2 linked regions of the Drosophila melanogaster genome follow. Changing the gene in region 1 together with any one later gene gives a genetic interaction. Each region holds a gene or a part of one and is shown on either strand. Other genes may lie near its edges. The genes, in order: tadr and Galphaq.

Region 1 (15,307 bases):
CAACAAGGAATCTTCAGTATTACCTAATGCCTGCTGCATTGTAGATTTTCAACTCACCCAGTATTGTTCTCCCACCTTAGATGTTTTATTCCTACTCTATATTGTAGCCTCCGCTGAAGTCAGAAGGGCGATTTATGATGAGTGTCTCGAGCACTATTATAAGAATCTACAGCATCACCTGGATCGTCTGGGTTTGGACAAGAATCTCATAACAGAAAATAACTTTAGAAAAGAGTGCCAAAGAACTCGATTGGCAGCCCTTGTTATTTGGGCTCTCACCGAACCTCAGACAAAAATGTCACCCAGTATTTCAAATAGATAACGATCCGAAGAACCGGAGAAGTTTGACTATTACCTCAACTGCGATCGGAGTGAGTTATTACTCAGGGTAATCGAGATTCAACCTGGTTACGAGGAGACCATTATGACGCCTATCAGGGAACTGGTGGATTACCTCATGGAGAATGAGAATTTATATATTTAGATGGCAGATAACATTCTATGCAGCTACGAAACTCTTACAATGTAAAATGATGTAACGATTGATTATACATTTTCGTTTTGAAAAATTTAATTTATTCTGAACTTAGTTGTACAGAGAGTCGCCTAGCTATATATTTGTAAATACATAAGTAAATTTCGACAATCAATTTAGCTAGCTAGAAAATTTCAGGCATATGTGGCTCGAAGCTGGATCGTCCTGGGGATCCGCATAGCAATTAAATAGTTTTCTAAACGGATTTTAAAAGGCGCAAGCTAATCAGTCCAGCAATCTTCGTCATCCTCCTCGTCAAAGTCGCGCACATTGAAGTCCTCGTGGAACAGGTCTTCGCCTTCCTCCTCCGAGGACTCCGACTGTCATCTGTGCTCGTTGATGCGCTGTGGCAAGCCGACTACGCCCATTCCCTTGGGCGGTCTGGGTATCCGGATGCTGGTGGAGGGACCCGCTAAATTTGATGCCGATCCCGACGCTGACCCCATGTTGCTCTTTCCCGAGACACTAGGTATCAGCTGGGCATTCATTATGGTGGTGTGCTCAAAACAATTGCAACAGTATTTATCGCATCTGATCACCAGAATGAGTCCAGCCATCAGCCAGATAAGCAATCCCGGCCAGGAATGTATAGCACAGCCACTGAATAGGATCACGCCCATCAGCAGCGACATTCCACAGATCACGGGACTCACGTTGATCACACTGCCCGTGTATTTGGGTATAAAACCCATCATAATGGTCACGATAAGAACCCCAATCCCTCCGGTCAACGCTGCCGGAGCCCAGTGCATCATGAGCCCGGCAATGCATAGGGCAATGCCCAATCCAATCACCACAATGGCGAAAATGGTCACGCGCCAGGAACTCACCGTAGGCACTCGCACACTGCGCTCCAAAGGTCCGGCGGTGGTTACCTGGAGAGTTGGAGGATGATTACATGTAGTGTCTATATTTACGTGTATTCATGGAGAGTTCTTACCTTAATCTTTTCACGATACTCATCCACAATGGCATCAATGTCGGTGGAGGTGTCCGAGTCACTTTTGTCAAATTTATCTGGGTACTCAAAGTCAGATGGCTTCATGCAAAATGTCAGAATATATATTTTTAATTGACATTTACCCTTAATAAACTTAATTAAGCACAGAAATCACTTACCGGTGGCTCGCCATCGGAAAGAATGGTGGACTCCACATCCCTGCCCTCTCGTTGAGGACAGGGCGAGGTGGGTTCACCCAGGAGCAGCCACTCCTTTTCCAGCTCTTGTTTGTTCCTGGGCTTGGTCTTCGGCTTTTTTAAGTTACTGTGCTTGGGCAGACCGATCTTCCAGAGACTTCTCTTTAAGCGACTCGAACTGGAAGTTGCGGCACTGCTGTAGCTGCTGCTCTTGGCAAACGGTGCTGTGGATAGGCGACTGTACGACAGTGAAGACTCGCTGCTGGGCGCCATATATTTGGGTCTGTAAGGGATGTATAGGAGGTAAAGGGCCCTCAGGAATACCCCACCCATGTGGCCAGCGGCTAATGTGTAACTGAGATGCTGTAGTGGACAGGCGAAGGCCAACATGGCACACATGCTGCCGGCGATGAACACAGCCAGCACGGGGTTACCACTCTCCGAGCTCTCATAACTGATCTGCTTGGACAGTATTCTCCACTCCGAGGTGGCCAGTCGCACAACAATACCATATAGTTCCGGAAAGAGCTCCAGAAATGCCGCCGAACTCGTCAAAAGCAACATGCAAGCCGAGGCAGGAACCAACTTATGGAAGCCGTTTTCATCCAGAATGTTGAACAAGGGCACGGCTACATAGTCCTCCTGAGATCTGAAAGAACACATAAAATGTATGTATGTATGTCAAGCCACGCTATTGGTTTAAATATACATCATCATTAAGGATATCTCTAGTACAAGTTCACAAAACATTTGTACAGTAGCCGATAACAGTTGTACAATATGTCTTTTTCCATTATTATCGCATTGTCAGACTCACCTATAATGCACCACCGTCGACAGACAAATGGCCGTCAGCAGCAGCGAAGTACTGACCAATCCCGTAATTAGAGTCGCCGTGAATCGTCCACCTCGAAGTTGTTGGGGCCAATCGCCGGGGAAGGAGTAGGTGAGCAGGGCAGTACCCAGGAAGACCTGAGTGTGGTGGTTTGAACTAGTTATCAGACGGATAATTTTGCAAATAGCAGCAGACTTTCCCCACCAATGCTGGTTGCTAGTGTATAAATTGACTTCTCTATGAAATTTTTTGATTTCTCTATGATTTTTTTGGTCTATAAAAGGCACTACAAATTTTTAAATTACTGGACTGAATAACTTAAAAAGTAATACATTATGCTGTATTTAAATCAAAGCTCTTTTATTACGAATACTCTAAGTATTACCAACTCCGGCAAACTAAGCGCCAAAAAATTTTCCATGTTTTTGCTGTCTGACTGGCGGCTTTCCGCGAACGAATACCAGTGAAAGGAGGCCAAAAAAAAACAAAAACGAAACGCAGCAGTACGTGTCATAATCAAAAGCCCGTATCCTGTGGATTCAGCTGCGGTCACGCAAATGTTCCCGGTCACGACAGCGAAAATCGATGGGACTTGGCAAACAAAAAAAAAAAAAACAAAGCTCAGACTGGCACAGTGCACTGACCCACTATCGAAGTTCCAGTTGGTATGGGGTCTAACGTCTACGGCCACTTACACTGCTAATGCCATCGGGCTGGAAGTAGCTATCCGCAGACCAGGCCAACATGTCGCCCCGCCACCAGCCGACGGCGCTTAAAATGGCGTTCAAGCCAAACATGCCAAGAGTCAGGATGAGGCTGAAGGCCCTCGAGTGCTGTGAATACGCAAATGCAGTGAGTGTCGCGATAAGTGGGTGGATTTGGATTTAAACTCGGCTTCGGATTCGGAGGAGTACCCACCTCCAGGCCCAGCATGAACATCCCAGTGACGAGGAAGACAACCGACACGCCAAGAACATCCGGCCACGGCTCATTCGCGGGTGCATTGCGGCCTGAAAGTAGGCAACATAATATTTGAACAGGTCGGCCAGCACAGTTCACGCCAAAATATTACGCATACATAACAAAATATATGCGATATGATAATATACATCAAGTTTATTATTTTATGACAAAAACGAAATTAATATATATTTAATAATTACAGTTCTGTTTGTTTCTTAGAGCACCATATGGTACTTAATTATTTTCGAAGAAGTGGCTTTACTTATAAGTATGTATGTATAATAGTTTGCTAATTAGGTCGTATCTCGTATTTCTAATGGTTTTGTTATTCCTTGAACCAATGTATTGTGCTACTTTATTTACAAGCATCTGTTACCACTCACCCAATATGAGAATCCTGGCCAGACCTCCGGTCATGGCGTCCAAGCAGGCACTGAGGGTCCTCGCCAGGGCAGCGCAGGCACACACGGTGGCCAGAGCATCTAGCCAGATGGCCAGAAACAAACAGCTAAAGTCGAATTTATTTGTGGCCCGCACATACGGCATTTGCAGGCTGCGGAGGCTAGTTTTACAGCGGGCTGGAACAAAGAATTAACTTACTTTGGAATATTTACAAGTATTCCACCTAACTCCCACCTGCCATTGCGCCATAAACGGTGGCCAAGACAACGCCAACCAGCAGGCTGGGAGCGGAAGCCTCGTTGTAGACAATCAGATAGGAGATTACCGAGGCTCCGAGGGCCAAACGGGCGCCACTGCCGCTGCAGAGCACGTCCAGCAGGCTGCAAGGATAATTCAAAGGACGCACGGGGGCAAGTTAAATTAAATTGCCTGCGAGGAACTGGCGTAATGAATACAAAATTGTGCAAATTAGACTGCTCATTTCCTTATACTTTTATGTTGGCTTAAGAATCGTAGCGAAAAGATGTGTATAATTAAATATATATGCGGTCAGAATACTAAATGGTTTTGGAAGTCTTTTAATGACATTTTTACTCGGAACTTTATCTGAGCATTTATGAAGACTTAATTGCACACTTACTTTTAATTGAAGGGATTAATCATGCGCAAAACATTATTTTTAGATCAAAGTTCGCAAAGCCCATAATAATACCATTGGCTTCAATATACTGGCAAAAATGAGTATGGTTTGACTTAACTTTTTCGACTGATTTTACTTGCGAAGGTGCATTTGCCTACATGACGGAGTGGAACTAAGGACTCAGTCACCTTTGACGGGATATGACTTCTGTGGTTAGACACCCACAGAAACACGAACGGAAATCCATACAACTTTAAGTAACCACAACCACGCTTACAAGCACAGTTTTTGGCGCCAAACTGACATTGGGAGGGATTACAGCACAAAAAATTCTTTCATAAGGAAGGTAAGAAAAATATATATTTTTTTAAATCATTTTTATCTATTTTAATTTTAATGGGAAATTAATAAACATATTTTCCCAGTCAACATTTAAATAAACATTTCATCAAGCAATTTTCAATTATATGTGGTTGCAGTGCAAGAACAAACAGGGAAAGAGTGGTGAAAGGAGATCGCGCCTGTTTGCTCTGAGGCTCTGGTGGCTTTGCCTCCTCTCGGATGCCATGAGTCATAGCCTGTTTTTTGGGGATATCCCCTTACGCCATTGGTATTGAAGCTTCTATTTTCCTCCCTTTCCCAGGCCAATTTTCTGCTGCTTGTAATTATGTGTACTCTGTGTGCATATTTTAAGCAGCTCGATTATCCTAATTACATGGCCAGCTGCTGGCGGGCTATCAGGTTTCTAGCTTTGGCCTTGCTAAGCTGGGAGTGAAATAATAGTGGGGGACACTTTTTCGTGAATCTAATTTTCCACATTTTCCGAACGAATCTTTGACCCAGCTTAGAGAATGAGATGCTTTAAAACAGTCAAGGTACACTTTGCGGTACACTTAGGTTTGTTTATAGTTGTTTCTTGTATATGTAAAATTATCCGTTCGTATCGAACTTGTTGAGCTCCCAAGAATGATATTTGAATACATAACTAAATAAACAAGATTTTTTTCCTATGTCCTTGTGTCTCTGTTTGTCTCCGTATCTTCATAGAATTAGAATTCATGCACAGCTTGAATATATCAAGTATACGCACAGTGGTCGGGCACTTGAATGGGCCAAGGTAAATCGCAGCGAAAAAGCCAGTCAGTGCGACGCCGCCAGAGGAAGAACGAAAGGAAAGCAAATACCAGTCAGAAGACAACAGAAAAACTAAAACGAGGAGACCAAGAACGAGGAAGAATACCCACACACATGCCAATCAAAAATCAATTTATTGATTACATGACAAATATCAGCCATAACAACTGCCAGATATGGTCGAAATGGCTGTCGAGTATAGGCCAAATGTATTTATTGTATGAATGGATATGGGCTAGAGAATCCTACCTGCCACTCGACATTGTCGTTGTTGTAGCAAAGGTTACTGTGGTTTTCACTCAGCTAGCAATCGGCCAGGTTCAAAATGTGATTTGCTGCTCATCTTGTGGCAGAACTTGGCCAACAATGACTGCCATTTTGTAGTGATCTTTTATTAAAATTTATATTAGATACTCCAACACTTCAGCACTTGAGCTTTAGCCCTTAATTAGCCAACACGCTTGAGAGGTAACTTCTGCTCTTGACACGTAACCTGGTAAAATATGGGGGAAGTGCACAGGTAACGCGTAACCGCTCGCTTAAATTGGCCGCAATCCACTGAATGTTCACTTGAAGCTTTTCCTCCGCCGCCCAAACAGCTTTCGCCCGATTCCGACGCACAGCTGTCCACCGGATTCGGAATCGGATAAAGATTCGGATTCAATTCAATACTGTCCTGCGCAGTGGACGTTGTTTACGTTTACAGTTGGTTGGCCTGCCTTCTGCTCTTTGGTGAGAAAATGGGAAATGGGAAATGGGAAAGTGGGTTGGGTGGGGTGGAAAATGCGGAGGGTCTCTGCATTTGGTACTCGAAAGAGTTGCACAAGTGCAATCGTTTTGCATAGCTAATGTACTTTATTTTTGAATTTACTGCAGCTCCGTCTATAAATATACTGATTTCCTCAATAAGAAATTTATATATAAGGAACACTCAAACTAAAGCTAATAAATCGTATACCTACTTAGTATTGATAAACATGGCGCCTAAGCTAATATTAGAATATCTTTTGCAACTCGGCGAAGCTAGAAAATCTGGTTATATTTCTTTGAATTCTACTGTCTAGACGACTTTTTATAATTATTTTTTTTGACTTCTCCCATAAATCCAACACATTTAAATGTACAGTTTTAATAAAACAAAGTATTCTCGGAATAACAATACTGCAAGTGATTTGAAAAATCACACTCCTCAATTTAAATCTTAAGGTGAAGTATGTGTACTTTTTTCATTCCGGCAACAAAAACCTAATACGAACATACAGAATTTAAGGTCACGTAATATAAATATCATCAAGATTACTAGTTTAGATTAGGAATAAAAACGAAATTAAGGAAGTACACCATAATCACATAGGTATGACAAACAACAACGTTTAACAAATGAAAGCCACATTTCAAATGTTTAGCACGTTAAATATTATTTTTACACCTATAAGTATTTTGCTCTTGCGTTCATTAGTTAAAGTGCATTCAAATGTGTATTGACGGGTTACTTTTAAAATGTAAAAACAAATCAATCAGGTATCTTAAGCTACCATTCTTTTATTATATTTTCGTTACGAAGTAAAATTTTCCATCTTTAAATAATAATTCCTACCTTCTTTTTAACGAGCCGAATGGAACCTAAAGAATATTATATTCAAAGTTGTTAGATCTGGCATTTATCTGAGAAGGCGACCTTGACTTGTGCAAATGACTCCCGCAAGTTGTGCTAAAATTTGAAACAAACAAATGCGAGAAGCCGCTAAAATAAACAGTTAAGACGGCTTCAAGCCCGATTGGAGACCTTGTGGTAGAAGGTAGAATCCTATCCTATCGAGAGTGTTCTATTTTCGGTGAAAAACATAACTAGTGGAGCTGGCTTTAGCAGCAATCTCTGAATTTGTCTAGAACGAAACGGGTTTTCTGTGGACAATCAAACGGCAGACAGCGGTCATAAAAACCAAAACAATAAAATGCAAACTATCTCAACTTATACCAAGCCGTTTAATTCGAACGTGTGCACTTCAGCAAAGTATCTCTGGAGTTTTTTAGAGGTTGCTCTCGTCAAATCAACGACTCCACGGATCGACCTTCTGACCAACTTTAACCGACGTTGGTCATAATTGGTCGGATGTTTGACCTTTTTACTTGTGATTTATTTACTAATTCAAGTAAAAATAAAGTTTCTTCTATTTTTGGCAAAGGCTACCTTGTCCGGTTTAAAAATAAAGTTTAGGCGAAATTTATGAGTGTTTCAAGCCGCCTACTATACTTTGATTGGGTCTTACTGTCTGTCTTACTTCGTACATTTGTTACTATATTAAATCAATACCATACCATCGATTTTCTTACAACATCTTACATAGGTTTCAGGCATGACGGACGTTCACGATAAGACTTTAGAGCATTTATGTTAATTGAAATCAAAGACAGAGACAATATAATCAAAATTCAATGTCATTTCGGTTTCATTTGTCTTTTTTCTTTGGGAATGTGGCTCTATGAAGTCGGAAGTTGTTGGTCAGGTTTACAAATAGCACTTTATTGGACGAAACAATTATGATTTGCTGTGGCAGATCAATGGTTAACAGACTCATCGAGATTTGTTTTCCCATATGTTAAAATTTTATGTGAAATCGACATTAAAATTCCGAAAAACAGTTTAAACGCATGTTATTTTTGACGTATAGTATTTAATATGTTAATTCTTATGACTCACTTGACTATTCTAGTAAGAATATATAAGCTGAGAATAATAATATAAGCTTGTTAATTAAATAGTGTTAGCTATTTGCAAATAGTGTATAAGCTACAGCTGAAAACGAATGTAATTTTGTAACTGTAATTTTTTTTTTTGTAATTAACTCTATATATATATATATTTAATATACTTTAACGAATCAGATGAAAATTAGTTTCACAAACAATAGAACCGGTATTGTTGGGTCCCCAAATCTACAAAATTCTACAAGCTCTGCAACGCAATTCGCGGGAACTAAAAAAGCCCGATATTCTTAACGAGAATCCCCTCAAGCATTTCAAATTTGCAAATAACCAAGAAATATAAAATACTTCAGAAGGCGAAGCGCAATTAGCACCACACATATGAGATTCCCAAGACTCACAAAAAATTGTTTACGGTAGCCAATCGATGACCATGACGCTATATGATTTTTGGCCAATAATTATCAAGCTCCTTATTGTAGTCAGATAAATCATAATTAATAATAATAAGCGAGGTTTAGGCTGTTCTAGCCAAATGGGCCATCATCGCCGGCACAGGAAATGTGAACAGCATAATGTCCAAGTCATCGGATAACACATGGCACAAAACAAAACGTTCGTTTTCGGTCATTACGAAACACTAACCGGAAGTCAGATGCTAAAACCAGAATTCTGATAGGAAGTAAAATAGGTTAACGTTCAGATTGGCGCTTGGCTTTCAAGACTCACCTTTGTGCTGGTTCTAACGGGTTTTTTGCGAAGGCTACCTGTTGATTCATTTGCGATTGTCTGCCTCTATCACGGGGTTCTTTTGGCCAACACAATCTGCGTGTTTTAAGCTTGGACACGGACTCGTATTTGGCCAGAGTGCAGCTTATATTTCACTTTCGGTCAACAGGGCACGAGGTTGAATTCTCGAAAAAGTTGAAAACATGCGCGCAGACCTGCTCGCTTTTGATGGCACAGAACAAATGGAAAATTGTTGTTTTGGGTTTAATTATGGCGGAAATTGGCAAGAAATAAATTGTGGTGAAGCGATTAAGAAAAGGGAAATATTTTATTTTGGTGGCGTAGTGTTGTTGAATAGCACTGATTAAACTGGGTTTATGCGGAGTTTGGCTACCGGAGAAATGATTGGACATCTGTTTTATGGCTAATATAACTGATTAAAAATGTCAAATTTCATTCTCAGTTCCTGTTAACGCCTAATGCTTATTATACCCGATACTCTTACTCTACGAGTACTAGATTCGTTGAAAGGTATATAAAATATTAATATTCTTGATCAGGATCAAATGTGTACGAACACATTTTTGAAAAACTTTTGGATATTTTTTCCTAATTTAATAAGTCATTAAATTTTTATCGATTTGTCAAAAAAACTGTTTGCCACGCCCACTCTAACTCTCTAATCGGTTCCGCCCACACTTTTGAACAATTTTTAAATTTTTTCTCGTTTTATTCCCCAATATTTATCGATATTCCAGAAAAATTATGAAATTTTCCATTCGCACTCACACTTGCTGAGTACGTCGTAGATACTCGTTATAGGTTTGTTCATTTTAAATACTAACGACTGTATTTGTTGAAGCCACCTGGCAACTCTGATTACCAAGTCGTGACTGAATCCCTCTCTTCAGAAAACAACCACTGAAACCTCAGAAGCCCAAAGGAACAGCTGAGTTCGCGCCCTTTTCAACATTCCCTCCAGCCCCTTTCATCCGCATTTTTTCTCTCACTGCGCCTGCGTCCCAAGTGTCAAAAATCGTCGCGAAAAGCAGTCGAAAAATATAAATATACGGACGAAACAAAATTAGCCGGACACAAAAAGAATGCTGGCAGTTCCAGTACATAAATTTGCATTTGTTGGGAATTAATCGATTAAGTGCGTGCCGGTTGACCGGAAAGTTAAATTACAATATTATATTATATATGTACGCACATGTGTATTTGCAGGTAATAACACCCAGCGGTGAATAAGTGGAGTTAAGTATGTTTAATATAAGCATAGAAAGTGAAAGAATTTTTTTTTTATTTTTGTGCCCAAAAGTGCTCACATAATTCCGCAAGTGGCCTTAAACATTTTTATCAGTTTCTTGACCCGCATGACTTCTTGCTCAAAATGCAAATCGAAGTCTAAAAAACGCACGTATACAAAACAAACGATATCAAGTCAAATAACAAAAATTTGCCTATTATGCAATCCGAAGATGTGACGAAATCTTTAAGAACGGCCAGCCATACACCATTTCATGCGATTAACATAACCAGTTTTTAATGAGAAAAAAGCAAGAGACCAACTCTCGAACTTGGTGGCTTTGTGCGAGTATGTGTGCGCAAAAGAAGGGTAAAGGAATACAAGGAATGAGAAGGAAAGAGAGCCGAGGTGCATTGCGATGTCGACAAGAAGGAAAGAGGATATAAGTTGGCCATAAGTGCATTTAACCAAATTTACGGGCAGTCGACTTTCATCCGAGGCACAAATAAAGTACAATAACATATGTTGGTTTTGAGGGGAAAGTAACGGCAGTATAAGAAGTTAAAGTCGGGCTTGATGATGAGTTATTGCAAAACTTACATAAGAGTTCAAAATTATTATTACTTATACATAAAATGCGTGTATTTTTTGTACAATTACCTATTTAAAATAATGTCTAAATTTGTAAGCCACTTTCTCGTCCAATAATTCCGAATTTCACATTTTGCTATTTCGAATCAAAATAAGTCATATGCACACATGCATACAGCTCCTTTATTGCAAGCAATATGCAAACAAATAAATTCAAATTAGCAATTAGTAAACGTAGGTCATTTTACTAAATTAATGAGCCACGTGGGAGGTGTTAAGGTGATTTAAGGTGCTAATGCACATTTACTCAGTTCTTATAACAAATATGCGTAATGAAAGGGCCCCGAAGGTATACTCACTCTAACTAAACTTTTAAGAAATAATACGAAAATGCATCACCCAAGCGATGTAATTTATCTTTCGTGTTTCATAACGCTAATTAGCCATGTTCACGCCGACCCTCTATTGCGCCGCGTGATAAATTTATGAAAAATACGTAGAAGCATAAGTCTTGATTATTTTAAATAATTACACAAAGCAAACTGGGAAATAAATAGCCTAAAGCGAAGCGCAGCCGAAAGCAGCATAAGAACCGAGCCGCGAGCAAAACAAAAATAAGAAAAATATTAACAACTATAATCCCAGCCGAAGCTGCGGCTCAAGCTCGATGACGTCACAAGCGCGACTTCGGCCGAGCGGCGAGCGGTAAGCAGCGCAGTCGACGTCGACGCCGGCTATATATCCAATAGCGCGCCAAAATAAGAAGTCGAAATTCATTCCTTTCGAGCCCACAACGTTCAAATTCGTTTGCTACGCTCACGAGAGCGGACGTGCAGTGCGGAAAAATCCGACAAAATCAGGCAAAGTCCCCAGATCCAAAACTATATACGGAATAAGCAAAGAAACAAACTAAAAAACAAACCCAAATTAATATATCGCGTCTGCTGCTCGCCGTTGTGTTTCGTCTGCATTTAAATTAACGGGCAAAAACTACGCGAAATTACATAAATCGAAAGCTAATTAAAACGAAAACCTGTGTCTTAGCGAAGTGTGATTAACTTAATTACCCGAAATCTAAACAGATCAAATTCGAATCGAGCAAATCCAGTGACAGTCTGTGCAAAAATGGAGAAAAACAACAACGAGCTGTCCGCCGAGGATGCGCAAATCCTGGCCAACGGACACGCCCACCCCAATGCCAATGGAGTGGTCCATCAAAAAACGGAGCCAGTCGCTCCCGCTGCCGATGGCTGGCGTCAAGTCCTGTGGAATACCTGGGATGCCTTTGCGGACGTGGCCTGGTTCATAATCTGCTGCATTGGATACATCCTGCAGGCAAGTCTCAAAAGTTTACTTAGTCAAATATTGTCAATATAAATGAAGAAACGATTTTATTAAGGTGAATGTAACTCCAAAGTTAAAATTCAAAAAGATTCACAGCTCTATAAACGGAGAATTCAATAAAAAGCTGCCTTTGACCTTCCAGGCGTTTTGATTTAATTAAGCAAATCTAAAATTTGCTTCAGCTTTAATTATCAGCAAATAAAAAATACCCATAAACAAAAGGTTCCTAATTTTTGAGCGATCAAATGAAAGACCGTATTGTCGCTCGAAGTGCTGCATGCCCGAGACCTTCTCACTTTTGTTTAAAACAGTTTAATAAAAAAACGGTTGAGACTTATTTGCTTCCTCTGCTCGAAGAATAATTTACCTTCGCGTTGCCTTTGCTTGATTAGCAGCATTGTGCGATTTAGTAAACGCCTTTTACCTTCGCCACTTGGCCAAATGTGTCAAAGTTTTTGGGAGAATATAACAGAGAATTGAAAGTCTGGCGATCGCATGGCTGGCAAAAACAACGAGCGCCAGCGATTAACTTATTTAATTAGCAGCGGAAAGGATGTGATGTGTGTGATATATGGCCAAAGGTAATGGGCATTGCCGATGGCAGCACGTGTGCCGTTTAATTGGAACCGTGAAAGAGATTTAAGGCATTAAGATCCAGCGCAGACGAGTTTTCAGATCGTATCTGTGGACCCGAGGGAGGGGTTCTGGTGATTTAGGGACTGCCCGAGATGATGTAAAGCAGACTGTGAACGATAATTTATTTTGACTTGCGAATTTGGCATTCGAGATGCCATCGGGAAGGGGATTGGATGGCCGGAACCAGTTAGGAATTGAGTTATCATGTCCATGTTAAATCAAGGCCATAAACTAGCCTCGGACAATATGAACATGAGCTAGACGGTTGATCAAAAATATTTATTACTCAAATTCGATATTTGAAAAATAGAAATTGCCCATTAACTGAACTTAAACAAAAAGAAGCGTTCAATGTGCTTGGATTTGCGTTGCCAGCAACTATAATTATTAAAAACCTAGCTGAAATAACAATAATCCGAATTTTAAATGCGTGATTGGTCACATATCTAATTGATTTACACAGTTGAGTGAGAGTACAAACTCTGAGAACTACAACCACAAATATTAGGCCAATAGAGTCAATGAATCAGTTCATAGGCGCCAAAGACCGCTGGAAATTTGAAAATTGGGCCCAGACCCGTATCGGGCTCAAACTAACACTCTGACACGCTAAGTGGTTTTTAAATAACCAAAAATAAAAGACAATAAAAGCAATTTCAATTTTATTACGCAAGCCTTGGTTTGCGGTAATTATATTTTCACTTTACCGCAAAAAAGGTAAAAAAAAAACCTTTTTGTAGCCAGGGGTTAGTGAGATATGATCGGGATATATGTGTGGCACAATAGCCACTTCCATCGGTATTCCTCAGCTGCTGGGAGAGGGCCATAAAAATAGAGACGATTCGAAACTGTTGACATTAGCATGCCGAATGCAAAACCAGCGACTCAGAAAGTCAAATGAATTTGCATGTTAATTCACGGATTTGGTAAACTCTTAAATGATGATTCTAAACGCTATCCGCTTGACTTGCTTGTCAACGATAGTTGGCAGATGTGCAAATTACACGCCGGTTGTTGTGATTGAATTAACAATCGGTTACTGGGTGGATACCCATGGATTATTATTAGCCCGATTTATGTCAATGCATTGCTGGCATGCATTTAACAAAAGACTTGGGCAACAAACTTGCGCTGGAAGTTCCACCTACAAGTTGAATGTTTGATGGGAGGAGAACTTATGTGGGCTCTGTTACACAGTTATAAATTTACTTTAAATTTTGTTAATATAGTTTCTGTGATGTATATTTTTTTGGAATTCGTTTGATAAACTGTGACATGATACCAAACTTTATCATCAAAATGCTTCACAACAACATTTTAAATGTTTCATATATTTGGAATGGAAGTATCATTTTTAATGTTAGTTCCAGACAGTTTTAGTTAATAAGAATAAAAAGGTCTTCCGACCAAATAGGGGCATATTTCTCCGAGTGCCGGCGCATGTAATGAGAGTCAATTCAGCTGAGTTACTGCGCGCTGCCGAAGTCGCTGTCAACTGCGCCGCAGCGTTTGGCTTGTTGACCTAGTTCAACTTTTGCATTTTGCCGGCCCGTGGTGGCGGTGCTGGCCACTTGGAGAGCCTGTTTTTATTAGCTAGCCGCAAGACCCACACATCCATCCACACACATATCGCATTGTATTGTATTTGGTGGTAACAACAACAGCCACCGCAATTTCGCGGGCATTCGTTGGGTCTTGTGTGTGCGTTGCAAACGCAAACGCAAACGCAATTGAAACCGAAAGTGTTTGCGGCCCCCCAAAAGGCAAATAGCTAAACACAATATCTTACTACTGGATGGGTTGCCGTTGCCTTAGATCGCCTCTTCGCAAGCCGTGCAAGCCGCAAGTCGCAATTGTTGGCTTAGAGACCGGGCCGGTTGCAGGTTCATAACCCGCATGCGGCCTTGTGCACTCGACTGATTTACGCTGCCAGTGTGTGTGTCAGCCTGAAAATTGGGTTACTGGGCGGGTGTAATGTGTACTCGTGACAAGAAACAGAAAAGATACTGTCTGGCTGACCATCGTACATAATCGTGAAAAAACGTCAAGTTGTGGCAGCAAGCAAGCACTTAAAATTATTTGAGGAAGCAAAATATTTTCATTAATTGCCTTGAGAACGAACTTTTACAAATTGAATAGTTATATTTCTGAAAATATAATATCAAATAACAAAATGTTATAATCTTGTATATTCGATGTCTGTGTGTCTATTATACTTATATGGTAATGGTACTTTTACAATACCAAATACCAATACAAAATGCTGACTACCCGAAATAGCCTTAATTTTCACAGAACTGAAAATGACACTGCAAGTTCCCCTGTCTCAAAATAAATGTGCTTCGAGCTAATCACTCGACATATCCGTTGCAGCTGAGTTCGGCTTGGCAAATATCCGCTTTTGCA
Region 2 (15,377 bases), on another chromosome or scaffold:
ATAACACGTTATTTTATAACTGACTCACGTGCTTACAAAATATTTTCTTTTTATTTTTTAGATACAATTTTACATTTATTTCATCGTTTTTTGGTCGTTTTTTTTCGTGCTTTTTAGGTTCGCTTTTGAAGTGATGAAACGATTTATTGAAATTTAGTCACATGAAAGCACTATTATTAATTTCTAACTTTTTTGTAGATTTTAAATTTGTTTCACCAATTTTACGGGTTTACTTAATTTTTTTATTTTTTATTCCTGTTCTGTAGGTTATATATAAAATTTTAAACTTCCGAAACGTGGACTAAACAGAATTTTTGCAAAATTTGTATATTCTGTCTTGAGAGTTTTTCTAAGACTAATTGGGCGGCGCTGGGCGAATTTACATTTTCACCCGCACGATAAAATTGTTGAGAACTGAGCTTACTTAATTCGCCCTACTCAAGTCACTAAGAGCGATTTTTAAGAGAATTTGTTTATCTCTTCCCATTACCTTACACTTAGTTCACTCTTTTAATGTAGATTAAGTTAATTTGTAATGGCAATAAAAACACAAATAATTATTTCTAAGAGCCCAACAATGCGCGGCTCTTATAAGATGAACTGGTTTTTATTAATCCACGAATACCAAACTGTAAACGCCTAAAACCATATTAAAAACTAAATTTATAAGACATGCAAATAATTTCTTAATCGATAGAGGTAAAGAGAATGTATAAACATTGAATATGTGTGCTTATAACAAAGTAAGAGCAAAATTTATTTTTATTATCTACATGGGGAGACCACATAAAAGTTGGGGATCCACACCCATATTAAAACAGATTACTTTCTTTTAGGTTGCATTGCAAAATTGTATCCTTAACTGCAGCGAACACAAACTTAATGTTCTCCGTATCTAAAAATGAAATAAATAACTTAATTAGATGGGATTTGTAACGTATTATTTAGCTTTTTGTTAGGCTGTACGTTACTGCATTTACATTGTTTTTTCAAACGAGCAAAATACATAATCTCCCAATATAAGAACAGAACAAATGCATTTTAAGCCAAATAAATCAAGACAATACACTTACCTGTAGCACACGTAAAATGAGAATATATCTTTTTATATGTATCTAAACTAATGCTTTGAAACATACGTAGCACGTATTCCCTGGCCGCATATGCATCTTGTTTTGGACCTGTTTTGTAAAGAATTAAGTATTAAATATATTGATCAAAATTTGTGTGTAAATCCATATAACTTTTAACGCCTACCATCGTATTCTGGAAAATAGTCTACCAAATGCGAATACATTATTTTCTCCTCTAACACGTCCATCTTGTTAAGAAACAGAATGATTGAAGCATTTTTAAACCATTCAAAGGTTATGATAGTATGAAATAGAGCCTTTGATTCCTCCAGTCGATTCTGCAATAATCGGATTTTATTATTGTTGGCGAATAATTAATAAAATGCCTTCAAGTTATACATCGTTTTCGGATTCCATCATGAACTGATCATATTCCGACAGTGCTGCCAAAAATATAATCGATGTTACATTCGAAAAAAAGTGAATCCATTTTCTTCTCTCAGTTCGCTGTCCTGCTACATCCACCATGCTGTTTATAAACGAGAAATTTGTTAATACAATAAAATTAATAAAACTGCCCCTAAAAATTTAATATATACCTAAGTACATAGCCATCCAACTCAAAAGGATAAACGGTAATATTAAATGTAGGCTCTCGAGCACGCAGAATGTCCTGATTAGTTGGCAAGTAATCAGCCTGTTCAATTCGACCTATGTCACCCAAAAAACTGAAATAAGAAAATGAGAAAAAAGCAATTTTGGGTATCGCTCCTGGTGTCCCAACTCACTATTCAGTGGAATCAGTCAGCTGATATTCCCTACGACGATCATAGCACTCCTGGATGCCAGCATCGTGCCAAAGCGTTTTGATGGCATTCAAGTATGGATCCTCGAACGTGGTAACGGTCTCGTAATCGATGCTCATCACCAGATCGGCCAGTTCCTGTGGATCGTAAGATGTTGTTTAAGATTCAGTGACTTCAATTAGATCAATGTTTCACTTACACTATGCTCTCCCTGACCGTAGGAAATCTTCAGCATATCCATGGCCTTGATCATTGACTGCATGGCCATGAATATGTTCTGAAAAACCAGCTTGATGTATCCACGCTTGTCCTCGTCCGAGTAACCGCTGCCGTGGATAATACGCATCTGTTTGATGAATGTGGACTTCCCGGACTCGCATGCGCCTGTGGATATACGCACATTGTATCCTTGATACATCCCAATACATCCCACTCCACGTACCCAATAGCAGTAGTTTGAGTTCCCGTTTAGATCTTTTTTTCTCAAGGCGCAACTGTTTGTCAATTTCCTCATTGATACGCCTTTTTTCCATTGCCTCGGTCGATGAACAGCAGTGCATATTCATCTTTAAATCTTTAAATTAATTTTTGATCAGTATCTAAATGAGAATGTATCTTTTTTTGTGCTCTTCTGATAAGTTTCCGTAGTTATTCATTGGCTAAGATGTGGTTTTTCGTATCGTTTACTTTTCTTTTTAGTGTCCTTAAAACCACACTTTTTCTTCTATGCAACGCTCAAAAACACGTCCGTAAGCCATCGAGAATGGCCGAAAACTGATTTGGATTTCCAAAATTAAAAAATTGAATTCCCGTGCCCTAAAAATGTTTAATGACCTCGTGATAAAACACATCAAAACACCCAGAGAAATATCGTTAAAAACATCCCTGAGGATTTCTAGAACTCCCAATTCCCAGTGAGCGCATATCCATTATATAATTCAATCCACCACACAGCTCTACTGTTTAGTCAGTTACAAAATTCTAAAACTAAAATATTGATTATGTATCGAACTCTGATATATTCGAAATGCGTTTTCCAAGAGGTAGAGAATAGCATATCGTAGTCGCAATATCAAAACACTTATGAGGTCTTTTCAATATACTTTTATTTATATTATATTGGTTTTTTCATTAATATTAAGGTGTACATAGATACTTTTAATTATCTAAAAAATTTGTTTAGTTACAATTGCCACGCATACAATCGCCGTTTGCTCCGTCAATATGATTTGTATGACAAATGTATAGACACCCAGGAAAACCCCGTACGTCCAATATCAATTCAATCAATTCAATTCAAATGCTACAGTTATCAATAGTCGGCCCATGGACATGTTGGACTGTCTCTGTCTCCAAATCGGGGCAATCGGTCTGTGTGGGATTGCCTTAATCCTAGGCTAAGCATGCAGTTTCAGTGGATGTTTCATTAGCTTCCGATTTACACGTATGTATGTATATGCTTAGGTGTGCAATGGAGAAACTAGAGTCGAATATTACTATTTCTCCCTAATGACGCCCGAACTCACAACTAACATTTCTTACTGCTTATCCCGATGCTGAGTTTATAGAGGGTTTTATTTCAAAACCGAAAACTTCGTCTAGCCATTCCTATTATCGATAATGTAGTTTTCCTCAACGTCAAGGGCGATTTTCATTCGGGATTCTTTTTTAAGAATTTTTTTTTTTCATTTTTTTTTGCTTTTCAAGCTTTCTTATGTGGAATGTGGTCATTCTTTCATTTACATACATAGTTAAAGTAAAAACTAGCCACCGAATGCCATGCCTAAATGGTTTTCAAGTATCTGAAAATCGTGGCCATACTTATCGAGTATCCGGCCCGAAGGATCAAATTGCATCCTTCGCTTTCATTCCGCTCTAGATTTACACAATTACATAAATTTCCCATTTAAATTGTTGTCCCTTTTGCTTGCAGTTCTGTTTGAGTTTGTTGCTTAGAAAATTTCTTTTTTTTTAAATCTTAATTCCTTACAATATTCTGAAATTCCTTTAGCAATCGTCGGATTTGTGTATTATGTACTCGGCTTCTCTATATTGGAAATACATATCTAGTAGATTCATCTGCGTTACTTTGGTTTTATCATGTAATTTTAGTTATTAATCGTAACAATTGTAAGTGTAATCAAAATTATAAATTGTATATAAAAATACAAAATACATACATTAATGGTTTATATCAAATTCTCATTTTATTATAGTTCATTTTGCGTTTAATGTACACTTACATACACATGCTCGATTATGTGGTATATCTCTCGGGAGGCCTTTTGAATGCCCTCGCGAGTAATTTGCCAAATATTTACATACAACTGTCTGACTATCGGTGCGTATCATAAAATTAAGGAACCAATCTATCAACCCAAAGCACAACAATCTGGCCATACACACATGCTGATAATCTGAATGTCTCGGGGCTTTTAACAGGCTCCATTAGTGGTACAAAAAAAAAAAATAAATCAAGTTTGGAGTACCCATTTGGAGTCTGTCCTATATATAAAATATGGGGATTCATTATGCTGGAAAGGCACAAAATGTTAGGGAAATCATATCGAAATCGATCAATTTAAAGTGTGCGTATGTGTGGCTGCAAAGTCGGAACATTTTATCATTGAAACCGCCGAAAAACTCTTGTTTTAAAGGATGGAATTTTCGGAAGAAACAAATCGCAAATGTTAAGGATCAAAATAAATGGGAGACTTTGTCTGCTCGCTGATGCTGATGCAATTCATTGGACGGAAAACTATATATATGTATGTCAGTGTGTGAATGTCTATAATGCCGTGGATATAAAAAATGGGCCAGGCCAAAATCGGAGCTACCAAATTGGATGCCAGCTGTGAATTTTTGTATTCGCATATTCGCAAGAACCTAAACCGATTCCATATCCATACCGAACGGGCCCTCAAAACTCATTGGCTTTTTTTTCTCATTGTGTTCTCGGCTACATCTTTTAAAATACACATTGACTTATTGAAGCTTTTTAAAAGCTAATCCATTGGTTAATCATAAAAATGGTTTAATTTTTACTTTACTTTTACTTTCACTATATGTGGTTACGAGGATTAAAGCTTTATACAACACACTGTTGAATCGTACTTAAACTAAGATGCGTCTTGGTTTTTGGTTATTCGCGGTCATAGGAATATCTCAATTCTCCACTCCCATGAGTAGTGTCTTCCGCTTGGAGTCGTGGCAAAGTGTCTACTCCTCTGTGGCCCCGAGGGAACTAAACGCCAAATGATGGGGATGTGGGTTGAGGGAATCTCGCTCGGTTGAACAAAATAAGTGTACTATAAATTATGAAAAACATTTTGCATCATATTTATTTTACATACATGTACGTTTCAATTGTTTTCCATTTTATTTATTTTTTGTTTCCACATATGCGTAGAGTAGAATTGTTTTTATTTGGATTTTTACATAAATAATTTGTTGATGGGGTTTTCTATTTATGTGCGTCTCATTTAGTTATCCTTGTATATTAAATTAAACTAAAATTATAAAAACAAAAACAAAACACTGAACCCACTTGGCCAGACATCGCCGTTTTGGCTAGCCGCCAAAGCGAGTCCCTTGTTGCATACATTAAGATCTATAAAATAAGCAAACAACTAACAAAGTTAATGTAAAAAGTACGAAAATCAAGCTATTTTTGATAACAATGTTTCGACTGAAATTTTGATGGCAACAAAAGTACGTGAGAGCAAAACTTTCCCTTCTGATAGTTGTGTTTCTCGACCAGTGGTATATCGCATTTGATTGGATTTAACCTGATGTCTGATTAAATATCAATAAGTTGTATGGATTCTGCTGTTGCATGTTGCATGTTGCATGGGTGGTTATCGACATTTTTTACAAACACGTATTTAATGAATGCTCCATGTAAATGTTTCTGGCTTTTCTCATACAAATCTAGCTCCTATATCGTTTTTGTATTGGTTTGCATGCGTTTCATTTCTTTTCTTTTCATTCTCATGGTATTAATACGAATCGTAATTTACAATGAATGGAGCTCGCGCAATGCAAATTAATCAATTTTTAAATTGTTACATATGCGTTTATGAATTATTATATCTGCTTTCATGTATAGTTAAATATTTCGGTAAACAATAGTATCAATATTTACGGTTTACTGTTTAGCTTAATAAAAAATACAGTATTATCTGTGATTTCGTTTTCATTCATTTTATCATTTTATCAGCTTATCATTTTCGGTTTATTATTTTTACACGCCTATATGCCCTGAAATTCTAATAAGAAACTTCTTGCATATATAATTCTTTGAATATATATATATTTCGGGGGATTTTTACGCAAAAGTATGTTTTTGTTTTTCTGTAGTTATTTAGTAAAATGTTGCTTTATTATGTTATGCTTCAGTACGACAAAGTTGTTTCAGTTTGTTGTTCCTTATCAAGCTTTTGATTAAATTTACGTTTCATATTTTGTGTTTCGGATTTTATTACAAAAGTTACTATAGTAATAAATTTATTTAAATATTACAGAGTGACAACAACTAATTCGGACGATATTTTGTATAAAAACTTTTCAAGGAAATCATGTTTCTTGTGTAGGAAGGAAAAACTACCATCAGATTTATTCAAATCTAACCAAAAACTCTATCGATTGGGTACCAATCATTTCTGGCCACTGTCTTTTTGACTTTCAAGAGTTTTCCTAGTCGAAACAAAAAAAAAAAATTCACACAACGTTTTCTGAAAACTTTGCCGCTAGAAAGAATAGAAGTACTGCAATATAAATAAATGTTTTACGAATCGTCACATTCGTAAGAGAAACTCTGCCCTGATTATTTGTTGTCACACTGTATCAGATTTTGTGTTATTTTTCTCTCAAATTAAAATGTATACATCTTTTTCATCATTCTGCTGATGCGGTTTTAGCATCTCAGTTTAGTATTCTATTTATGCTACAATTTTCGGTTCCTGATGTAACAAACGTAAGAAACTTTCTCGGGTCTAATTTATGCCTAATTTTCGGCCACATTCGCTCGCTTCTCAATTCTTCTTTTATATTTAGTAAATATGCGAAAAAGGAATTATATGAATGTGTATGTGTGTTTGTATAAAAATCACAAAAATAGTTTTTCGATCCAAATCCAGTTTAGACCAAATTATATTCCTTAAGGTTCGATTGCAGAATTGTGTCCTTAACAGCTGCAAACACAAACCTTATATTTTCCGTATCTAGACAAAAGAAAAGAAGGCGTAGTTAGTTTGATTTTGTCAAATAATCCTATGATAGTAAACTGCACACATTTTCCATTCACGATATTTCACAGACTATATTTAGTTTTTATTGAGGGACTTTGAAAAACAAATCATATACATTATAAATAAATAATTCATTTGCATTGCCACTTTTCCTGATATCCGCACTGCCCGCCTTAGCCCAAATTGAATTCCTTAAGTGCATTTTGCATAATTGTATCTTTGACAGCGCAGAACACAAGTTTGATGTTTTCGGTATCTGTTTACCAAGAGATCGTTGTTTTATTAGAAATCAATTCGTTTAGGTTTGCAAATTTGACTAGCGATACACAACTACTCTCTACTCTAGATCAGCGGCAAAAGCAAATATGCAAATGTAAATGTTTTTCACACAAAAGTTTACCTTTTGACCAGTCCTTTTTAGGCTGAAAACTAAAATCACATCCACACACAATTTCTGACCAAACACAGAACTGGCAGCAAACTTACCTGTAGCACACGTGAAATGAGAATAGATAATTTTTTCGGAATCTGGATTTAAATCTACAAACATTCGCAGTATAAACTCTCGGGCCGTTATTGCATCTCGCTGAGGACCTGTTTCGATAAGAAGGCGAATATGAAGTTACGTCTAGCGTGGTTCTACGAAAACTAGCAAATAATCTACGGATGATATTGGCGATTTAAGGCAATTACATAGATCTTAAGTACATAAGGTGAAAATCCACCTGTGGCCGTTGTGAAATGCGAATAGCATTGACGTTCGGGATCTGGATTGCAGGCCAAGTACTTTTTCAGAACGAACTGTTTGGCCGCAGCGTGATCCTGTTTTGGACCTGGTTCATTGCCGCATAAAATCGTACATAATTATGGCCACCTTTATCATGCGGAACACTTACCATCGTATTCAGGAAAATAGTCTACCAAATGCGAATACATTATTTTCTCTTCCAACAAGTCCTTCTTATTCAGGAAAAGAATAACTGACGAATTTTGAAACCAAGGGTATGTAATTATAGTACGAAATAAAGCTTTAGATTCCTCCATTCGATTCTGTGAAAGCGTACAGGTGATTATTTGTTTAAAAAAAATATATTCATAACTTGAAATCATACCTCATTATCAGATTCAAACAAGATTTGATCGTACTCCGATAGCGCTACCAAAAATATAATTGATGTCACATTCTCAAAGCAATGAATCCACTTTCTTCTCTCGGATCGCTGACCACCGACGTCTACCATTCTGTTTATTAAGAAAAATATATTATTGTAAGAAAAGTTAACCAACAAATTAACTACATATAAGGCCAAACATACAAGCATTTAATTCTAGAGCGCAAGCAACGAATCTATTAGTAACTAAATTGTAAGAAATCGTCTTCACTAGCTTTACAATGACCATTTACATTACTAGCCTTGCCGGTAATTACCAATTGATATTTTTAATAGATACCTAAACACAATGCCATCCAAATCGAATGGATACTCAAGAATGCCAGTTGTCGGCACTCGAGCACGCAGAATATCCTGCTCGGTTGGCAAGTAATCAGCCTGTTCAATTCGAGCTAGATCGCTCAAGTAGCTAAATTAGATAAATTAATACACTTTTAAAACAATGAACGGAACCAAAAGCAGTGGCAAAAATAGTTTTGCAACCCGTCTCAGTCCATCAATTTCGCTGAAGGCCCTAACTAAGTCCCTGAATTGTTTGCTTGAAGAGACATGCGCTAAAGAAATTCTTAAGTGTGTAGTTACAAAGTACAAAATAAATTTTAACCATAACCAAACAAGAGGTCATGCACATGCAACGAAGTAAGGGTAGAAAGATGGTATGTACCTAAATCTGATTTCTTCTAAATCAAAGGGATACTCAATTATCCCTGTTGTGGGCACACGAACTCTTAAAATGTCTTGCTCAGTGGGTAAATATGCAGGTTGAGCCACACGATCGAGATCCTTCAGATAACTATACATAGACAAGATAATTGATTTAGTTTGCATAGTCGTTTCGGTAGTTTCAGTCTCTTCAGTTCGTTTTTCGGTCATTTTGCGGACGGATTTAAACCGTTCCCTTTGCATGCCAACGGTTAACTTACTATTTGGCTGAATCAGTCAGCTGATATTCCCTACGACGATCATAGCACTCCTGGATGCCAGCATCGTCCCAAAGCGTTTTGATGGCATTCAAGTATGGATCCTCGAACGTGGTAACGGTCTCATAATCGATGCTCATCACCAGATCGGCCAGTTCCTGTGGATCGTAAGATGTTGTTTAAGATTCAGTGACTTCAATTAGATCAATGTTTCACTTACACTATGCTCTCCCTGGCCGTAGGAAATCTTCAGCATATCCATGGCCTTGATCATTGACTGCATGGCCATGAATATGTTCTGAAAAACCAGCTTGATGTACCCACGCTTGTCCTCGTCCGAGTAACCGCTGCCGTGGATAATACGCATCTGTTTGATGAATGTGGACTTCCCGGACTCGCCAGTGCCTGGGGATATAGGATTGGAAAATATATATAGCCATAAGCGGCGGGCAAACAATGCAATTAGCGAGGCGGCTTCAATTGCATTAAGCCAGGCTAAGTGCAATCGAAATGGGCCATGCTCCACTTACCCAGTAGTAGCAGTTTAAGCTCGCGGCGCGCATCTCTCTTGTCCCGGCGCAACTGCTTCTCGATTTCCTGATTGATGCGCTTTTGTTCCTTGGCCTCCTCCGATAAACAGCACTCCATGCTAACTAGATTTATAGACGCTTTCGCGTGCTGCTGCCACTACGCTCGACAGACCGTTCCGTATATAAAATGTATGCTGTTTGGATGGTGGGATGGTCTCCTGGACTCCCTTCTCTGGACCCTCGGACACCTAGCTAATTGGTTGTATGGCGGGCGTTGAATTCACCCGTTCCAAGTTATAGATTCTGTTGTAGTTTCGATTGGTGCATTTGTACTTCGGCTTTGCTCGCTCTGCAGACCTCCTCCAGCGCTTACGATCCAGGCTCTCTTTGGCTATTGCTATTGCTAATTACGGGTCTACGCTAAGTTCTTGACCAGATTTCGGTGACTCGGAGGCTGAGAGTGATGGTTACTAATGAACAAAGACCACATCGAACGATCCAAGAACATCTGCAAGGAGACAAAGCTTTGATTTAGTGCTTGCATAACCGAACTGTAGGATCTATCCAACTATTGCTGCTACGGACCACCACAGTTGTTGGCCCAACGAGAGTTCGCCGCGTTGTGTCCCGTGCTGACAATTAACATTTCATATTTGCTAGCCTGCCCCACTAGCTGGCGACGTCGATGACGACGTCGGATATAGATTGCCCATGGCTACCCATGACTACCCCGGGACTTCCTCTGACCATGGCATTGGCTTTGGTTCTAAGTTCTGGGCCTGCTCTCTCTGCGCAGACCTGGGATCGCCCTCTACCAGGTGGCAATAGATTGAGGAAGCGTTCCCCACAATGCCCCTCAGCCAAGTTCAATGCAAGAAAGCTGATTTTGGAAAATATATGGCTTCGCTGGCCACAAGTTAGCGAGAGTGTTCTCCTATTGGGTGGACCAAGCAGTCTATGGATAAGAAGAATTGGCATATCATTCTAATTCGGAAATAAAAAAGTCACATACCGAAACTTATGATGCAAAAACACAGCTCTATACACAAAACTGGAATATCATTGCATAAACTTTAAAACTCTTAATGTACTTTTATCGTTAAAAGATATGAGTCCACCCGAATCCGCGGTTCATTCATGGGTTCAGCATAGGGCATGCCTATAGAATATAGCCTATAACCACTGGTGCTATTTCCTCTCTTTTCCAACCCCTAGTTTATATATCGAGTGATGGCTAATCCAATTTCGTTTGGCGAACACATTGACATGGGTCGAGGTAAGGCTTTCAGCATGACCACTACCAAATATCGATGGAATACCTAGCAATAATTTTGACAAAAGTCTGACCAGGAGAATTTGGCGGGCTCAGGTGGGCGAATATGGAGATCTGGATAATGATGGCTAGACGCATAGTATTCGGGAGGATTAGTGGGCTGCACTCGGAACACATTGCTCGCTGAGCAAAGCCACAAAATCGAATTAGCAGTGGCAGCAAAATTCAGGGGCAGGGGCACGCAATTGGCGCAATGAAGCGTTTTTTAACAATAGTTTGCCAGATATATCATGCCACCAAATCAGAGGGAGATTTACCTACCGCGAACTGGTCTTATCTGCCTTACATATTGTATATGCTGATGATAAACCACTCTGAGATAACGTTTGATTTGACTTCTTAATCTTTAGACGACTACTGCTCTTCTGAAAATCACTGTTCTAATGCAACCCATTTCCGAAAAACCATTTCTAAGCCGGAAATAGCTTCACGTTACTCATGCAGTTCCTTATCGCATCCTCAGCCTATTTTTGCTGGAGAATTTATGAGCTCATATTTTAGATACAAAAGTACCCTTTCATTATGATGAAAGCATGGCTTTTACACAAAATAAATATATTCGAATGGATTTGAATAAGATGGATGACAATCCATTAAACTCGCCTGGAGAATAATTCGATTTTTGGATTATAATATATTTCGGCCAGTTTTTAGTGGCAACCAACAAGTGGTCGGAGTCAAAAATTAACCACGAAATTACGATTCTTGTATTCAATGAGCATTCAGTATTACTTACTTAACATTACGGAGACACGGGACTAAAGGTATTCAGACGAGATTCTCCAAAAAGATGTTCCGGTTATCGTCTCGATTTGTTTTAGCTACCACTATGTTATACAAAAAATATTGAATTTCGGGTTTTAGTACGCCGATTGAAGTTCTTCCGGATTGATCGTGTTCTTTTAATTTTTGTTTTTGGTTCCCTGCCGATGTTCGGTCTGTTTTAAATATTTTTAGTTTAATCACGCGATTTGCTTTGCGGTGCGTTGGTTGGTCTTACGTTTTTTAGTTAGCTTAAACTAATTTCAAAAGCATTTCGTTTTTAGTTGGTTTGCGGTTTGGAAAACATTTGTTTTTAAGGAACGTGTGTAGTTGGTTATATATTTTTTACTGGTGCTTTTTAATATAAAAGTTACGATAACGTCTGTTCGGCTTCCTTTTAATGTAAATGTGTGATACGATACTATTTATATATGTAGATATATATCTATATATAATTTTCCCTTTTTGCTTCTAGTTTTCGGTGTGTATGAGTGCTGTTGTTGTTGTTGTTCTTGGTTTTTAACGTTTCTTCTTGTTGTTGTTGTTTTTAAACACCAGTCTGTAAATGCAACGAAGTTTCAACAAATATTCATTGTAGTGTAATTGAAACGGAAAAGTATGTACGACGACAACGACGACGACGAGCGGTCTTCAAATTGATTTCACACGAAACACTTAGTGGCTCCTTTTGTATTTAATTTTCTGCATATTTTATGCTTCTTGTATTTGTTTATTTTTCTGTATGCAGTGGAACTGCAAGTAAAGAAGAGAGACAGAGAGATAAGGAGAAGAACGATGGGGGGGGGGGGTGGTATTATGGGTGGTAAGGTGGGAATATGCATTCCGGAAAATCATCATCATACTGGCTAAGGTAAACACACACGACCCTCAGCTACCATTTTTTTTTTCATTTTTTGGTTAGCCCACCCGTTTTAAGCCCAAAAATATGCACAATCCACTATGTAGTTACGCGACCCCAACTAACTTCTCGCTGGCATGCACCGTTTAGTGGCAAAAGAAAACCACATTGAGTTAAACAAACTATTTCTTTTTTAAATTTCTCAACTTTTTTCCTATTCGCAGTGTTTTTCTCGGGCAAGCAGTGCGACTTGCTGCGCACTGCTTTACGAACGAATACACACAAATATAAGCGAGGGCGTTAACGAAACGAAAAAATTTTGATAGCAATGCGATTCGAAGATTTCGCGATTCGATTCGCCGTTTGTTTAACAATTATGGGGGGGCCTTGCTTAATGGCCAGCACTGTTTGGCGAAAAAATACACTTTACACTGGCATTTCGGGGAACGTTTTCGGTGCTGCTAAATTTTTTTTTTGTCGAGGGGGGGACTTTTTCGGGTGGCTGCCAGGCGGCTGCGGATGGCGACCGCTGGCTGGCGGGGAGTCCGTTTGACGGGGATCTTGCTCGAAACTCACAACATATTCGATTTGGCATCGCTCGCTACTCACAACATATTTAATTTTGCATTTTTCGCTAACGTTGACGCACGACCCGACTTTCGATAGCAGGAGGCGTTATTTGTCCGAACCTATCGGCCCTATCGTTCGTCGATATCGATGGTCAAACCAATCGGACGGCATTTGAACTAGTGGTGGCAAGATATCGATGATGGAATAGATGCTCTTAAATCAAAGTCTTCATTGTATTACATAAGGAAGGAGTTTTATTTGCCGCATAATAACTAATAGAAGTGGTTTATAACAAATAAAAACGGATTTCCTGGCAGTTCAGCTTAATTTGAAAATATATTACTTTTGGTATTTTTTAGTTGCCACCCCCACCACAACACATGTCGGTGTTGCCATACGGATTTCTATTCATGTGTGTCAATACACATTCTTAGCAATAAGGTTGGCAACGCCTTACATCCTTCAAATAAGGATGGCAACGCCAGACATCCTTAAAAATAAGGATGGCAGTGCGCCATATTCTCATAATTCAGGATGGCAATGCCTGATAGCTTTAGGAAAGACTGAAAATGTTGTGTCCTTTTCACTCTCTAACAACAGGGAATACACTTACCATGCACTTCCATATTCGTTAAGCTGTGACCCGAACCAATGACTATGATCGTAAATTTTAAATAACTAAATATATGTGTGTATAATTACCATTTAGAACATAAAAAATGCGAATATCGTAAAACGCCGGTCAATCGTCAAATTTACAAGCACTTTCTATCTTCGAAATCAGAAGACATTGCCCGCCAAATCAAAAGACTTGTATTATTTAATCTATGTTTTATTGGCTTTCTGTAAATTATTATCATTTGTTCAATATGTTCATGCGATAAATAAGTGTTTAAATTAATTAAATAAAATTAAAATAATAACTTTACAGTGTGTGCACAATTTAAACAATTATTTCGGGTTTCGTGTGATTTACAATCGAGTTAAATAAAATAAAAACATCGAATCGATCGGTTAGTGACTATTGGATTGTGTTCGCGTTATAAAGCTGTAGCTAGTTCGAGTCTCTCAAACGAAAAATTAAAAACCAAAGTACAAATTAAAGATACACGTAATCGCTAAACGTTAATGTTGTTACTTGAAACAATTTCCAAAACTTCGGGGACCACAGAGGAATTACATCTGGCCTTTTTGCATCGCCCCAAAAATACATTCAATTGACTATAAAAAACTCGTACTACATATTTGCAAAATTCACAAAATACAAAAGGTTCAGGCTGGCTATCTCCTCCGACTTTTGATTTGTTTAACAATTACTCTAGCTCTCGAGTGATATGTTTTACATTTGTGGTTTGCCATTAACAAATTACAAATTAGATACGTTTTGTTCGCATTAATTATGAGCACAATAATAGGATTAACAAATAATATATGTATACGTAGGTTTATGCTTTAGGTTTTCTTGAAACTTAGAACTAAAAAATAATGTTTGAAACATTTTCAAAATATTCTCTCTCTCATTCCTCATCTGTGTGTTCGTTCTTCTTTGTGTTAACAATAACAATTTTATGGTTGGAAGCACTGCCCTAACGAACAATCGCTATAAATGGATTGCCAGTTACCGAATACATTTCACAAAACAAGAATTTATTAATTGGACAAAAGCAAAAGCAGCGCTCACAAAGAAAATTTGGCCAAAAGTTTGTATTTGGATTTGGACCTCCGTTCGTAAAGATTTTTATGGTTGATCTGAAGTTGCTGATGGTTCGTTGCTAGCCCAGTTGTTCCCCAGTTTGTCGCTTCAGATGGGACGCGTGAAGTTGGCGGGGAAGAGTCCCTTCTCGTTGGTGCCCTCCTTCTGACCCATCAGCCAGCCTTCCTCCTGTAAATTGGCAATAAAGAACTGAACTCAATATAGACAGGAAGTGCTGAGATCTGCATTTGGCGCGGAGGGGGAAACTAGCGCGTGCAAAGCTCAAAGGAATGTGTATCTCCGGATTCCGAAGTTATACCCTTGCAAATGATAGAATCTAACAAGTTTAGCTTACTTAAATTGATGGAATTTTATGGAAATGAGGACAGACAATCCCATTAACATTGAAA

The links.
Region 2: of tadr (region 1) and Galphaq, changing one suppresses a phenotype caused by changing the other (phenotypic suppression), as found in Drosophila melanogaster (one study listed by BioGRID).

What each region holds. Positions count from the first base shown.
Region 1 is NT_033779.5:21,066,304-21,081,610, reverse strand, and holds tadr (torn and diminished rhabdomeres), read right to left. Parts: upstream 6,207-15,307; 5' UTR 5,910-6,206; coding exon 5,896-5,909; intron 4,253-5,895; coding exon 4,107-4,252; intron 4,049-4,106; coding exon 3,854-4,048; intron 3,518-3,853; coding exon 3,426-3,517; intron 3,341-3,425; coding exon 3,203-3,340; intron 2,645-3,202; coding exon 2,490-2,644; intron 2,322-2,489; coding exon 1,655-2,321; intron 1,575-1,654; coding exon 1,476-1,574; intron 1,411-1,475; coding exon 859-1,410; coding exon of another isoform or gene 757-858; 3' UTR 558-756; downstream 1-557. Other genes in the region: CG9265 (uncharacterized protein), read left to right, coding at 12,047-12,256.
Region 2 is NT_033778.4:12,610,788-12,626,164, reverse strand, and holds Galphaq (G protein alpha subunit q), read right to left. Parts: upstream 13,426-15,377; 5' UTR 13,319-13,425; coding exon of another isoform or gene 13,314-13,318; exon of another isoform or gene 13,286-13,313; coding exon of another isoform or gene 13,281-13,285; intron 12,599-13,280; coding exon of another isoform or gene 12,508-12,598; exon of another isoform or gene 11,820-12,507; intron 10,379-11,819; exon of another isoform or gene 10,336-10,378; intron 10,259-10,335; 5' UTR 9,869-10,258; coding exon 9,751-9,868; intron 9,626-9,750; coding exon 9,441-9,625; intron 9,379-9,440; coding exon 9,224-9,378; intron 9,094-9,223; coding exon 8,965-9,093; intron 8,710-8,964; coding exon 8,581-8,709; intron 8,371-8,580; coding exon 8,241-8,370; intron 8,179-8,240; coding exon 8,025-8,178; intron 7,962-8,024; coding exon of another isoform or gene 7,854-7,961; intron 7,723-7,853; coding exon 7,615-7,722; intron 7,385-7,614; coding exon 7,302-7,384; 3' UTR 7,182-7,301; downstream 1-7,181. Other genes in the region: CG30054 (uncharacterized protein), read right to left, coding at 813-895, 1,074-1,181, 1,258-1,411, 1,473-1,602, 1,673-1,801, 1,862-2,016, 2,079-2,263, 2,322-2,439; CG45086 (uncharacterized protein), read right to left, coding at 12,508-12,598, 13,314-13,318; Amph (amphiphysin), read right to left, coding at 15,076-15,156.